Drosophila melanogaster: one gene and its partner. The protein of the gene in region 2 interacts with the protein of the main gene of each other region in a pairwise test. Each region holds a gene or a part of one and is shown on either strand. Other genes may lie near its edges.

Evidence for each region.
Region 1: the proteins of CG42748 (region 2) and Pp1-13C interact in a two-hybrid assay, tested with the Drosophila melanogaster proteins (one study listed by BioGRID).

The regions. Positions count from the first base shown.
Region 1 is NC_004354.4:15,356,524-15,364,720, reverse strand, and holds Pp1-13C (protein phosphatase 1 at 13C), read left to right. Parts: upstream 1-3,659; 5' UTR 3,660-3,930; intron 3,931-3,999; 5' UTR 4,000-4,383; coding exon 4,384-5,292; 3' UTR 5,293-5,620; downstream 5,621-8,197.
Region 2 is NT_033779.5:22,132,791-22,141,072, forward strand, and holds the start of CG42748 (uncharacterized protein), read left to right. Parts: upstream 1-1,542; 5' UTR 1,543-2,317; intron 2,318-7,330; exon of another isoform or gene 7,331-7,573; intron 7,574-7,928; 5' UTR 7,929-8,033; coding exon 8,034-8,181; intron 8,182-8,282.

The DNA.
Region 1 (8,197 bases), on a different chromosome or scaffold from region 2:
AAGAAATTTGTGGAATATTTTATAAGGATCAAGGAGATTTCATATTTCATATGCTCATATGGATATTCAAATGTGTAGTTACATTCGCTTACTAAAATATGGTTATAATATATATACAAAATATAGGGATATATCTAAAGTATGTCTTATACATAGACTTCTTCTTATAGCAGACAGAATATATCTGATATATATATCCCATCTTTATAACATATTTCCAACCACTGTACCATACCTTTGTAGCACCAGCAAGTTCTGGATGCTGGCTGCGTGCGCTACTCCGGATCTGGTTGCTGCTCGCTGCTTTCCGGAGGTTGTAACCCCGGATAATGTACTTAATGCATCTACATATTAATGTCGCACCGCCTAAAAAAAAAAGAAAGGGAAAGGGGCCTTGGTGAGGTGCGGTGAGAGGAAGTGCAGGCTGACGAAAAAAAAAGGGAAAAACAGGGGAGAATTACACGGGTGAATTGAGGAAACCTGTGCCACCTCCGCTCCACTTCCCGCACGCCTGCTACTTTGTATGTAATTTCTATTACCACCCCCCGCCACCCACACCCATGGGCGTACGTGGAATCCCTCGTGTCCTTGTGTGTTATGCCTGTGTGTTTGTGTGTGTGTGCAGCGTGTCGTTGTGCTTTTTGTTGTTGTTTTTATTGCACAGACTGGCGACGCAGCGTGTGATTGCCACTTTCCCTCTGCACTGCAAGAAAATGCCCACAACTGGCACTGAAATCAATTAATTTTGGTCTAGAGATGGTTTCTAAAAGCACACCGAGTGCACTTCATTTTGTTTAATATATATTATCTGATCTCCTAACTTCATAGTTCTAATAAACAAATTCAAATCAATTCAATCATTATAATCGATAACTTAATAAAACCCCAATTTAAAAAGACGCCTCATATAATCTTGTCCAATCCTTGGCTATACTAAAACTATGCCTTTTTGAGCGCTCATATATAATTTTAATAATATATATATATTACACAATATATTACAACGTAGTGCAGATTTTCTCCCGGTGTTTTCCCACCCCCCTTTTTCGCTTTTCCCTCCTCACCTGAGCCGCTGCACTTGTTCCATCGCCGTGTGCGTGATGTGAAAGAAGGCAACGCAATCGCCGTGAAGAAGGGTGGTTGCGTATGGCTGGGCGGAATTTTCACCGCCCACTTGGATGTGTCTCCCAGTTGGGCGGGCCGGAAAACAGACGGCAGAGGGCAGCCGTTAAGCTGGGACCGCAATGTGTAAAAAATTACGAGCAAAAATTAAAGCTGGGGTGGGCGGAAAACGTTGGCAGGTGGTCGCCGGAGGCGGGAAAACTCCGCGGTCTTGCTGGTTTTCCACGCTTTTCCATTGCTATTATTTCCGCTCACACGCATGATGAGCCAGCGACAATATGTTGCCATTAACCCTGCAAATTATTGCAGTGTATGCGTGAGTATTGCCACGTTTTTTGTTGCTCGACAAAGTTTATGAGTCGTCTGTGGAAAGTCGATACACTTGAAAGGAGGTGGAAAAACAGGCATGGGAAATTACAAGACAATCTGCGTTATCGAATGTAAAGGAAACACTGAATTGTTCTCGAAATAACAGCCATTATAATGAGTTTATAAAAATGTAAAGGTCATTTGTTTATATTTACAAATGCATCTCATTTTATTAATTTTGTTGTGGTTTTAGTTCCAGTTCTAGTTCCATTACAATAGTGAAAAACTTAAAAGTCATATTTTAATTGCATAAAAAATTATATTCTTGATAATTTCAATAAATTCATAAATATAAAAAAAGCCCCTGTGACTTGAACTGCTTGCTATAAATATGCTTAAGTTTATGGCAAATTTTCAATGTTAGTTAGAGACAATGAATGTGGGATGCTGTTCCTTCGAACAGCGCAGAATATCCTGGGAATTCCCGTGAAATCTAGCTGCCTTCAACCACCCGCTCCCCTCCCCCTCATCCAACCACTACACCTACTTGTGATCGAAAAGGCGGAGGCAAAAAAAAAAAAAAGAAGGTAAAAAGGTAAAAATGTGAAAAGTAAAAGTAAGTAAGGCCATGAATCGCAACCCCCTGCCAAAAAAAAAAAAAATAAATAAATAAAACAACGACAAGTAGGAAAAAAGTTGGCCGCTGGCTGCGCGTCTGGCGGATATAAAAATAAAATAAAATCTATTAGGTGGCGAACCACCCCACATTTATGCGGCAATTTGTTGCTCCTTGATTGTGTCTGTGTGCGACGGGGTGTCCTTTCCGTATGTGCGTGTGTGTGTATGTGTAAAAATAAGTAAAGTAAAGTGTATCATTTTCCCATTTGGCGACCCCTTTTCGCATTTCGCCCCTGTACACAGGCACTTCTCGCACTTTGTCTCAATTCCCAAAACTGTCGCCCCGGCCGTTGCAATTTATGAAGATTTGTGTGTGGCCAGGATGCCAGCGCAGGGTGGGATGCCCAGGATGCAGGACTCTGAATATCACTGGCTCAGAAGCTCAGGGCTCAGCACTCAAGAGTCTTGGCCCACTCCCACTCCCACACGGTTTCGTTTCGACTGCACTTGTTTTGATTTGTTTGGAATAATAACAGATGCTTGCCGTTCATATTATTCATTGTGGAAATTATTAGCGCTTGACAATAAAAATGGCTATTTGAACAGCACTCGAAAGTGAGTGCGCCCCCTTACTCCCCCTCTCACCGACAATCCCCCGCCGCACAACACAAATTGCAATTTGTGCAAATATTTATGTACATTGAAAATTACTCATTTGTGTAACACCAATTAATTTCAACAAACAGCGGCGGGCGCACAACAATGGCCAAGCCATTTATAAAACTTGGCCGCTTGTTGTTGGTCCCTGTTGTCCTTGTTGTCCTTGCTGCCTTGCTGGTCAAACAAATGGGGGAAAATGAGGTCCTTTGTTTCCCCAAAATAAACGATGCCGCTGCTGTTTGAATGTTTGAATGTTTGCTTTGCGGTGCGCCAGCACACGATACACACTGTACAGTGGAGCCCTTCGCCAACAGCCGACAAAGCAGTTCAATCAGCTCGAACAGCTCGCTATTTATGTAATATACTTATGTGTACATATATATATGGTATATATATGGTATGTATGTGAAAAATGCGGGGTTATTGCCTCATTATTGGGACACTGGAAAATACCCTGTTTACACTGCCATTTTTCAAGTTGCGCCAACAAATTGCAGCTAATTAGTGGCCACACTAGCCGGGAAATCCGACGAAATAAGCTCATATACAATATACCAAAACCGGGGTGCACAGCAAATGGCACTCGGCAACTTCAAGTTTTCCACTCAATCAGAGATAATATGAACAAATGGGCGAGGGTCAGACGAGGGTCGGCACACTTTTCCAGGGGTGACCAACTTAAATAATACCTTTCTAGTACTGCAAACGCGGGATGTAAGACAGCTTATAAGGATGGTTAAGGTATCGTTTATTTTAGTTTAAAACCTAGAACATGCGAAGAAAATACAAATAAATGCGTTTATATAATATATATATTTTCTATTGTAAAAGTTTCTGAGAAATCACTATACCATCACATTTCCATGAAACACGAACTGGAACAATGCGATGTAGTCACTGACTTGTCTGTCGTCGATTTGTCATTCGTTTAGTCTTTGAAAAGTATAAAGGTCACCGTTCCGGAATCAAAATTTTTTTTAAAATTTTTAAGATACCGCAAAAGCGCGAATGTAGAGTATTAAAGTGCGTTTTAGTGAACAGCACATGTGTATCCGATCAGATCCTCAATTTTCATTAACTTCCGGAGAAGCGAAATCGAAAAAAAAAAAACACGATCTAAAGACGACTGCTAGTACAGCACGCAGAGGTCAAATGTCTAGATTCTAGAATTTAGATTACAACAGCTGGACTTTGCACACCACTAGAAGGAACTTAGAGAAGGTAGGGTAATCGATTTCAATCGATATAGCTAATCAAGCTGTCAAACCTTTTTCTTTTCACTTTTTCTAGAAGCGAGAATTTGTCCTACATTTTTATTAGGCATTTTGTGAAAGAATCAAAAGAAAAAAAAAGCTGAACGCTAAACAATTCACCGCCACATATCGAGAAGAAGCAATTCCATTCGGTTATGTTCTGGTATTGAGCACCTGGTATTGAGTAAATCGAAAAATTCACAAATCATCACAAAAAGTGCACGTCATCAGGACATACATTTTGCTGCACCCAAGAAGCTAAGTTTGTGACCCAAATAGACCAGCTCCGCCGAGGATCCAGTCCCATTCTCCAGACAGCCGCGATCTCAGGGTGAGTCCCTGACAAGCAGCCCCAACGGCGTCCCAGACGATTGTCCTATCCAGCCCGGACAACGCAGCCGCGGCCCCCAAGACCGAGGCCATGGCGGAGGTTCTCAATTTGGAGAGCATAATTTCCCGTCTGTTGGAGGTGCGTGGCGCACGGCCTGGCAAGAATGTCCAGCTGTCGGAGGGTGAGATACGGGGCCTGTGCCTCAAGTCGCGCGAAATACTGCTGGCACAGCCCATACTCTTAGAGCTGGAGGCGCCGCTCAAGATCTGCGGCGATATCCATGGCCAGTACTATGATCTGTTGCGTCTGTTCGAGTACGGCGGCTATCCGCCGGAGGCTAACTATCTTTTCTTGGGCGATTACGTGGACAGGGGCAAGCAGTCGCTGGAGACCATCTGCCTGCTGTTGGCGTACAAGATCAAGTATTCGGAGAACTTCTTTTTGTTGCGCGGCAATCACGAGTGCGCCAGCATTAATAGAATCTATGGATTCTACGACGAGTGCAAGCGCAGATATACCATCAAGTTGTGGAAGACATTCACGGACTGCTTCAACTGTCTGCCAGTTGTGGCCATTGTGGATGAGAAGATCTTTTGCTGCCACGGCGGACTGAGTCCGGATCTTACCTCGATGGAGCAGATCCGTCGTATTATGCGTCCCACCGATGTTCCCGATCAGGGACTACTCTGTGACCTGCTGTGGTCCGATCCGGACAAGGACACCATTGGGTGGGGCGAGAACGACCGTGGCGTTAGTTTCACCTTTGGCGCCGAAGTTGTGGTCAAGTTCCTCCAAAAGCACGATCTGGATCTGATCTGTCGTGCCCATCAAGTCGTCGAGGATGGTTACGAGTTCTTTGCCAAGCGCCAATTGGTCACTTTGTTTTCCGCCCCCAACTATTGCGGTGAATTCGACAATGCTGGTGCCATGATGTCCGTGGACAATACACTCATGTGCTCCTTCCAAATCCTGAAGCCTGTCGAGAAGCGCAAGAAGTAGAGGACAGCGAGATCTGTAGACGCTTCTAGATTTATTCTTATATATTGTAACACGCGGCACGCGACTCATTCACAATATCCTACACGAAATCGGTTCGAAATCATAATATCCACATACATCTCTAGTCAACCGGATCGAGGGAAATGGCTCAACTACAACGTATACCTCCATGGATCCTAACTGTCTTCAGAGGTATCCACTAGCCAATTCTTGCATATTGTATGATATGTGTAAGTTCACTGAGATTTGAACGCAGAGCTTATGCTTAGCTAATGCAAAATAACGCCATATGCGACTTTTACAAAAATAAACTTACATTTAAAATTTCAAGTGTTTTCATCTAATTGTTGTTTTTTTTCGATTTCCTAATTAATCTTGTCAGCTAGTTTATCCAACTCTTAATTTAAGCACCTTTCCCAAATGTGGAAGCCCTGAAAAGTGTGCTACGAATTCCGGCGGAGTGAAAAGTGGGTGATCCCCCTGAAAAAGAGATTCACCTCCATCTGTTCGTGTTCGGTGACAGAAGTCACCGCCATATTATATTAACAATGCTTAAAAATTAACAAAGCACACGCACACACATGCACACATGCACACGTAAAATGAGTGGGCGATATGGGGGCGTAAGAGAGAGGGAGCGAGCTGGCAGACAGACGACAAACAAAAAAACAGAGACAAAGATACAACAAATTGCGCCAAAAACGCTTTATTATGTCAAAACAAGATGAAAAAAAAAACAATAGAGAAAAGGAACCCAGTGTGGCAACAACAAATTACATTATATATATAATGAGGTCATTAGCGCGTAAACAATCAGAAAAGAAAGTGGGCAATGAAATACAAAGGGTGGGAGCGAGATGGCGGTAGAGCGTAAGGGAGACCAAAAAGAAAACAAAGTCACATGTTTATCAACAAACGGCAAATAAATAAATGTTCTTCGCAAATTTGTTAATAAATCATGAAGTTGACGACCCAAGTCGAAGAGAAAAATTTGAGCAAGTGAGAAGAACAGATTGTCAGGAGAGAAAAGTTCAGCGGCAATTCAGTACTCTTATTTATTTTTATTTCATAAATAGATAGCCCTATTTGTTTATTTAAATTATTATTTAATATGTTTATAAGAAGTATTGTTTAATATATTTAAATTACATTTTAACAATGGAAGATCTAACATTGACGTATGTATGTAGATTCTTATAGTTCATTAGGTAATCTGTTCTTTTGTTAAATATAATATTATTATCCTGACTACACCATATCTATTTAAGCTAATCTTTAATTTTAAATGCCAGTAAATGTGGTAACATTATTCCAACTAAGCTACCAAATTTAATATTCAACTTACTGGCCAAATCCGGACTCTCTTTGCATTTCCAAGAGTATTTCTTGCTTAAAATGGCGTCCTTATGCACACACACACACTCGCACGAAAGGGATATGTGTGTGTGAGATGCTCGGTGTTTGTCGCTGCTGCAGAGCAGATACCTATATATGTGTATATTTCTATATGGATACACGGATATATATGTACATGTTGCAGTAGAAAGGAAATCAATGCAGACAACATTTGGCAATTTGGTAGCAGTGCAATTGTTTTCTCTTTTTCCGGTTAGCTACTCGCATTTATTTGTATCCTTTTTGCTGCAAATTGCCTTCTATTGTTGCATTTGATTTGTCCTCTGGACGAAAAAGAGGTGGAGATATATGGCATGCCACACCCACACACCCATGCACACACACACACACACATACATACTCACTCCGCCATCTCGCTCTGGCTCTAAAGTTTTGTATCTGGGATTCATTGTTTCGTATGCACTGGAAGAAATTTAAGTATCTCTTCATCTACAAAACATTGGTTTTTTATATAAGCGATTTATAAAAAATGTTAAAAGTTATTAATTAGAAATTAGGCACATTTTTTCTATTATATTGTAATAATCTTCAAATATATTTATTTTTTTCTTTTTTTTTTTTTGATCACTCAAATATTGATCTACTATTTAGAAACCTTTGTTAAAATTTCAAACTTTAATATTATATATTTCAAATTATATATTTTTTGAGTTAGTTATAGTACAATATTTCAAAACCTTGTGCAGATTTATACATTAATATCAAATCATTTTGTTAGCTAGAACTCAAAGGCTAAATTTAAATAATTTGTTAATCATTTCGGTTTTAATATTATTAATATTAAAATAAAGTCTTTAAACTCAAGCTCATAATGATATAATTTTTGTGTTCATAATATAACTGAACTTGTGCATTTCTTTAATAGTAAGCATTTTTCCGTTTTTTTTTTCTGACGTCTTTCTTCAGCTTTAAGTTACAGATTAGCATCCTTTGGTCGCCTTTGAATAATTTTATTAATTACAAATTATGCGCCTAATGAAATGGCCAGCAGAGGGTGTGTTGGTGATGTGGGTGGCTCTGCGGGCGGATTCCATGGCCATATCCTTCGATGCTGACGTTGACGGTGGCGTTAACGTTAACGGTAAAGTTAACGCTGGCAGCGACATCGGCACTGCCCACATGAATTTTGCATAAGCCCCAGCCAACCACAATGCAGCACATCCCGCTGTCCGACTCCGGGAATCCCTATTCCCGACTTTCCACTTTCGACTCCCGGCGCTACGGCTACGGGTTTTTGGACCCGGGTCCGGGTCCATGGCCAAGTAATCTCGCACTCTCTCGCTCTTTCGCCCTCTCCCTTTCTCTCTCTCTCTCTCTCTCTCTCTCTCTCTATATGTCCGTCTCTCTCTCCCTCCCTCGTTAGTTGGGATTTTTGGGTCCTTCGATTTGGTTTTTCTTTTTTTTGTTTTTGCATGCCCTTTGTGTGTGTTTACGCGCAGGGTGGTTCCGTACTCTCTGCGACGAGAGAGACGGCAGCATCGCGCGCGAA
Region 2 (8,282 bases):
CTACATTTTTATAAAGAAAGTCCGTATATACCAAATGTATATGTTAGAATGTTACTATTTTTTATACCCGTTATATAGGGTGTATATATTCTTGATCAGGATTAAACGATCTGTCCGTCTGAACGCCTGGATCTTAAGAACTTATAAAGTTAGAGAGTTGAGATTTGACATGCAGATTCCTAAGACGCCAAACAATTTTTGGCCACGCCCACTCAGGTTTAGCGGTTTTTTCCAATTGGTGAATATCTTGTTGATTGGAAAGCTGCCGCAGATTTCCATGTAGTTTTTCGAGTATAACATACATATGTACATTACATACATATGTACACATAATAGTCGCCTTCGCACACTTTTCTAGTGCGCTTCGTCACTATCGTCCACGGTAGTATATTAAGGGTACTTCAGGCACTACAAAAAATATCTTATTGCCTTCGATGTAAGAGATATATCGCAGAATGGTAATAATATCTACACTTGCAATATAGTTATTATCCATAGTCACAATAGGTCTTACCGCACTTACTACATAAATATGTACATACATATGTTGGTCGCCAAGGACTTTTACAGATTTTAATTTGTTTTGTAATATACAAGAAATAAAAATAAAATTTAAAAAAAAGCTCTTTTGTTTGCAAACAATAATCTGATTTTGTATTGATTACTTAAAAAAATTTTACGAACATTTACATATACATATTTAACCTATATTTCAAATAATTGGTATTAAATATACGCGTATATATATGGGGAACATACTAAAACTTTTAAAATTTTAATAAAATAATTAAAAAATTTAGAATTAAACTTCGATTTAGTGTTTTGTGTAAAGAGTTTCTTGACAGTCTCAAATATGTGCAAACTTGGAATTTGGTGTTTATTTTCTTGTATATTTAATATTTTTAATTTGATTTGATTTATAAGTAAAATAAATATTGTTTAATTATATTGAATAAAAAAATTGCGTTTAATTAAGCAAAAAACCTTTAATTTTTAGCTTTAAAGTCAAAAATTCAACTTATTTCACAGTGTGTAAACAGTTTCTTGACAAACTGTATATATTATTGCGTATATTTGTATGTATTTAATTGAACTATTCTAATATGTATAATATTTTAAAAAATGTTGTTAGTTTCAACGTTTGCATACATACTTTCAACCCGCTTTCAACCCATTCTACCGCTCCACTGCAGCGGTAATGTCAGATATACGTGCATATATATATGCAACATACATAATTATGTATGTATGTACAAAAATCGCAAAGCTGTCTGCGTATTTTGTTTTTGGCTTAAGTCATACCCATTTAAGTGGGTATAAAAAGGGTTCATGCCATTTTCGTCGCGCCCTTCTCTAGCCGAGATTCTTCTTTGATTCCCAATGTTTTGGAACAAGCCTGCCTGTATTCTAACCAGTTTCTTTGTTCGCCTTGCTCATGGCTTTAAACGGATCTCTCTCGTGCCTCTTTCGTGTCTCCGCTTTATCTCGGTTCTCTCGGCCACGTTTAGTCTAAGACACGTTTACAGCTTTGCTCCGCTCAATTCAGTCTCTATCTGAGCGTTGTCTTTGCGAGTTAGCCATTTGCAATCGTGCGGTCTTTTCAATGTGTCTGTAGCCGCCCCAATTACATATGTATTTCGTCTGTGGATATATGTACGATGTACATATGTATATAGGATGTACACATTTGTACATATAAATATATGAACAATGCCTATTTCTCCAGCTTTCGTTTACAGTAGTTTTGAGAAAGAAGTGTATCTGAGTGTTTACGTGAATATTGAGGGCACAAAACAAAATAGCAGAGCAAAGAAAAAATAGCTCGTTGTAAATTAGACATGGAGAACATACAATGCCTTTCAAAAAGTTATAAAAGTGACCAGAAGACCGCGGAGATTTCGTTGTCGCGCTTGTCATATTGCCCAACCGGTCAGGACTCTTTCTACTGAACATTCTATTGTTATTTTATATAAGTATCTATGTACAGATGTATGTATGTTGAAGCCGAATAAAAAATTAAGCATGGATTTGTATATAAATAAAAATGTTTACTGCATTCCCGACATATCAACAACACAATACATGTAAATGTATGTGTATGTACATGCATATGATCACATTTGCTACTAGAAAGCTCTTAGAGACCTCACCGCTTTCTATTTGAAAATACATTTACACAGTTACACAAAAAAGATATGTTTAATACGGCCATATAAAATACTGCCATCCACTGCGAAGTACATAGTACAATTTTGACTAAAACGATTCCTTTCTATGGCAGCTACGTATAACATAAAGTCAGCGATCCGCAAACAAGGTATACCGATGTATATATATTTTATACATGTATATTTTAAAATAAATAAATAAAAGCTGTGTAAATTTATTACCATAATGGTCATGTAAAAAAAACGAACCGAATAAATTATGTTTATTCCAATTTTTGTGCGGTTTGTTGTTTTGAACTTACACTGCCGCATAATTGAATAGGTTTGACTATTTTAAATTTTTTATAAAGAAAACAGTCCTCCTTGGAATAGCAAAGATTTGGTTCTGTAAATTTTGTTTTTATATTATATGTTTTTATATTATGTATGTTTTTATATTATTTATATTATATAAGAAGAAATCTCCATTGTTTTTGGCTCATCTGAATAGCTTTTACCCTTTTGACTTCTCTTTTTGTTGGACCGTGTGGTTGAAAAAGGTTGCATTCTTTTGTATTCTATTATTTAAGACATTCAATACCTGTTTATTTATAAAATGGCCGTGGAAAAGCTTTAACCGAGGTAAAGTAAAAGGCTATATGGATATGGAATCTGCGAAGAAAATAGGTCGAAGTCAAAGCAATTAGCAATTTTGATCGTAACTAAGCAGACTATATAAAAAATGAGTGGAGGGAAAAACATGCAACAACAGCATCGGAGGAAAGACTTATCATACGAACTTACCAAATTCCACTCATTCTGATGGTAAAATAAGGGAAGAATGCGAACTTAAAGAATTTGAAAAAAAAAACTCCATTATGATGCTCGAAAAAAAATCACGACTTCGATTTGCCCGAAAACACGGAGTGGAACAAGGAGTGGAAGACGGTAACCTTCTCCGACGAAAAGAAGTTCAACCTTGATGGACCTGATGGTTATAATTACTAATTTCACGATATCTTTTTATGGAACATGGTCCAGTTCCAGTTTGTCACCTCGAAGATGAACGCAAATGCGTACTAGGCTGTACCTTAAAAGGGTTTTCCAACGGTTTCTGAGATTTATGTTCATATTCAATTGACGTTCCATTATGACACTGATTTGAATCGTAAAACAGTGGATTAAGATTGCTTGAGTGGCCGCCTTGCTCCCCTCACATCAACACTATCAAACACATTTGGGGACCCTTGTTATGGAGAGTATAAATTAAAATAAAAAGTATTAAAAGTATTAAATTAAAATAAAAAAATAATATAAAAACAAAACTAACAGAACCAAAACTATTTTAAAAATGACGTTTTTTTTATACAACAACAACAACGACAATTTATTTCGCTTAAATCGTAGTCCACTTTAAGGAGCTGCAACGTTTCGAAAATTGGAAAAGGTCAAACCATAGACATTACAATAATTATTCGAAGTTCTAAATTAAATAAATTATTCTAGTGTCTTTCGTGAAACCTACTGTAAGCGGTACTGTATGTTTTCAAAGCCTCAAAAGCGTTTTTTGTCCCCAAAAGATTTAGCTTAAAGAAATTATAATTCAACTAGATGTATAAACAATTATAAAATACGTCATTTAAATTTTAGGTTAAAGTAGCAAAAAGGTCTGTTTTCGACCATATAAAGTATATATATATTCTTGGATCAACTCGGCTGAATATGACTTTCAATTCAACTTTCGGATATATATCTTTCTAGTTCTTTGTAAAACGTTATAATACTTCAAATTCAATTTATGTAACTATTTACACTGCACGAAATGCTTTTCAAATGCTGTTATGAAAGAAAAAGTGTGTTTGGAACGTTTTTTGTCTAAGCAACAGCAGATTAGAAAATATGATTAAAACAAATATATATCTTCTTAATTTCTGTTGGATTTCTTGAAAACGATTCGATCAATTTCAATTCCTAAATATTCAAATATTTAGAACACATTTCCGTAGAAAATTCGCGAAGGATAATTATTATAATTATTTAGCAACAAACACGATCACTATCCATTTTGAGCAATAGATTTTGTATGAGCGAATACACAAGTTGTTTCAGGCCCTTGCACACATTTTTATTACACTAAATTGCTCGATATAAAAAATTAATTCTATGACTTTTGAAAAACCCGCTACTTTACTGCATTAGCTTTTTAAGCTAGAGATACAATGACGGTAAACTAAACATTTGATAAGGCTCGTTCCAAAATATTACATTTTTTATAGTGTATTGTGAAGTCACAAAACACTAGACTCTTTTTACGCAATTATTAAAAACGAATTAAATAAAAAATGTCTTAAAATAGCGGGCGTGTCAAAAACATCTATACAAATCAAGGAAAAATATTCAAAAGTTTGGACGTTGAGCTGCTTGAAAGCTTTCGAGAGGGTTTATGATGCGGTTCGGAAACGCCTCATTTTACCTATTTCTAATCTATTTATATATTTTTTTTACTGTACAAGTATATTTATTTTTACGTTGATTGTTTTTAATCCCGAAAAATAAACTTAATTTAACTGGCTACAATTACATACAAATTCGAAACGAAGAATCGTAAATATATTCTTACATTTTGATTCGAATATCATAAAACAAGGCGATTTCCATTTCCTGCAATTGGGTTCAAGGTTCAAGCAGTAAGGGTATGTTAGTCTCGGTATTGTGGCTTTGTAAATTTTTTCCTCTTTTGGGCTTTATGCTTAAAAATGTGGGACGTTGCCAATTACTACTAGGGCCACAACAATACCGAAATATGTGAAAAAACTTTCAGAGGCTCTGTAGCGTGAACGAGTGAAAAAAGTCAATGAACCCATGCTGTATGGTACAATTGCCTCTTTTTTCATTGCTTTTTCCCAGCAACACAATACAAGAAATTATAACAGAAAGGACCATATATTTTTCAAAAACACAGTAACTAAAATCGTAAGATCTGTTTGAAGCCAAAATCCGAAATAGCCGATACTTATTACTTGTACTTAAGTAGAATGCAGAAAAAAGATTTTGCTTATGTTTTAAGTTATACCCTTGCCGTAAATATACATACATATGTATGTACATATATTGAAATTTCTATCAGTATGTCACCTTTTTTTTGCCACTTCCAAAACTCTCACTCCCACAATTTCGAAAAATGTGCTGATATTATCTTTTTTAATAATTCCTGTGCCAATTTCTGTGGATATGCCAAAGAATTTTTTAATTTCTCGTTCGCACACCAAATAGCTTAGTAACGAGTAACCCGCCTACATCGCTCTTTCTTGCTTAGTTTATAATACTCCATATGCATACATATATTCAACATAGACATAATATAAAATAAAAATAAAAGGCTCCCAAGCCTCGTTACTAAATATGTTAGGTGTACCCACACATGTACATACATATGTAGATGTGCATGTGATAATCACACCCCAGATGTGCAATTGTAGCAACCAAACAATTGCTTGGAAAAGTTGGTTTCGCATGAAAGGTAATCAGAGATTAGGTAGTGTTGTAAATAAAATAAAATCTCTACGTTTGTGATGCCATGAACTGTAAAATCCCTGCTGAGCATAAAAATTGCTAAACCCACAAACCGCTTAAAACTTTTCCGTTCACACTGTTGAAAAACGTATTTATTTTTGTATGCCCTTGCACAGGGTATTTTGATTTCAGTCAGAAGTTTGCAGCGCATGAATTAAAGTTTATATATTCTTGATCTATATGAGCTGCCTATCGGATGTAGACATGCTTATCTGTCCGTCCATTTCAACAGAAATTCGGTCTGAGTTTTAAAGCTATTCTCATGAAAGTTGTCCAAAAGTCTTCGAGCCGGTTCGGTCGACAAATATGTAATTAGCTGCCATTGGAACATTGATAATGAATTGATAATAAAAGAAAAGAATATTCGGAGAATGTTCACCTGATTTTTGACAGCATCAGATTTAATTTTTAATTTCATCAAAATGCATTTTATCATGCAGTTGCAAAGAAGCTGCCTAAAAAAAATCTTTTGCGTGACAGCACTTCGGCTTGATAAAAGATCCAAAAAACTCTGCAGCTCTTTTAGTTCTTGAGATTTGGACTCGGCTGGTCAAGATAACTTCTGAACATCTGGGGGTAGAGACTTGGTCAATATTTCGTCAAAAAAATTTACGCATGTTTCTCATCCACTAAGTACCATTGCGCACGTCCAGTTTTAAAAATATACAATTTAAAGATGTTGAAAACAGCACTGAGAAAACTAAAATCTCTGTTTAATTCCATTAATACTCTATTTTTATACGTTTTCTTTTAAAAAAAATGTATTCATACACAGTTACATTCAACCCTTTATTTTAAAACTTATAATTTCTGTATATAAGCATCGGCTTGCCGATGCTTACTCTCTTCCTTGTTAAATTTTCTTACTTTTCTATCCAATTTATATCGCTACTCCAAACGATTATATTTAAGAATGGTTTGCTTATAAAGGAAGTTTGTCTATGTTGTATCAATAAATAAACGCCGTGATAATGTGAAACAAAATATCTTATCACTGAGTAGTATCTTATCCGTATACACTGAGTTTCCATGTGGCTGAATCATTATTTACCTGCGTTCTTTAATCTCCAACTGCGCGTATACATACCACTGTGGACGAGAGTCCACGTCGTTATGAATCGCTTCAGGACAGTGTGCGAAGGGGAATTCTATACAAACATATTATTAAATTAAAACTGACAATTAATTAATTAATTAATTAAAAAGTTATATGGTTCAGGAGACATGGTAGTGAAAGTGTATTAAAAATAAATTTTAAATATTGGTGCTAATAGGTGCTTCTAGTTGTTAACATCACCCACAAAAACACTATTCCATTTTTTTCAAATACCAAAAATTTCCTACTCCCATATATTGTCATTGTATGCTGTTTCACTTTGTCTAAATAGAAAAAATTAAAAATTTTAAAGGTAATATTATTTTTCCTCTTTTGATGCATATTTTCAAAAACTTGTCTAAAGATTTCCTTTGAAATTGAAAACTGTAGAAAGCAGTTAAAATATTTTTAGGTCTTACTGTCGAATGTGTCACCGTCTTACCGTTTTATCTTTCCTCGGTAACGAGTCTACAATACCCTTTTACTCTACAAGTAAGTAAGAATGTATCGTTAGCTAGTTGCAAAGCGTACCTCAAGCGCATTGGTTGGTGCAGCGTTTTGATTCGAGTCTCTGCAGAGTCTGCTCGCATTTTCTTCGTCTTTTTTGGCATGCGACGGTTCTAGGGAGTTCCGGCTACCTTTAAGCTGTGCGTGCACACTTTTCACACACTAGTGTATGTTTTTATTAACATTTGAGAACTACAAAGACGTGTAGTGCTCCGCTCCCAGAATTTTAGCACTTCACGGCGTGTCGATAGTAAGTTAGATAACGCTTATCATTGCTTACCATACAACTTTGTAGTGTGTTTTCAAAATTCTGTGTTATTCGCATATATGTACATAGCTTGTGTTATTCAAGAACGCCAAGAGCTTGTGATCTAATACTCAGAAAGGTCGCTAAAACCATCAAAATATGAATAAATATGAATAACAATATCGATTAATCATTGGGTTAATTGCGACTTGTCTTTCGTGGTTATATCAAATTATATTAAATGGGGCGGAGCCGAACGTTCTGTTGGCACTAAGAGATTATAATCATGGATGGCCTTGTTATGCTTTACGATTACAAATATTGCAACCTATTTAATAATGCATTTTTTTTATTGCAGATGAGATGAAAACGCAATGATTAAATCAAATTTGCATTTGCCAATTAAATACGACAGCGGAAGTGCCGATAGTGCCAATTAGCATTATTGCCACGACGCCGATCTATGGTCACAATTTGTTCCTTGTCAGCTGCACTAAGTTGTAACATTGCTTATAGATTTCCTATCTATGAAATGGAGCATTTAGATCTTGCCGGCTATCTTGGCCACACGCCTCAAAGTTGGAATACCCTGGGAACCTTTCAGGATCAAGGTGAGTGTTGCGATATTGAGAGTGAAATATTAAAATTTATGAAGATTAAAAGAAGTGAAAGCGATGTGTTGAGTTATTACAAAAAAATAAACTAACTACAA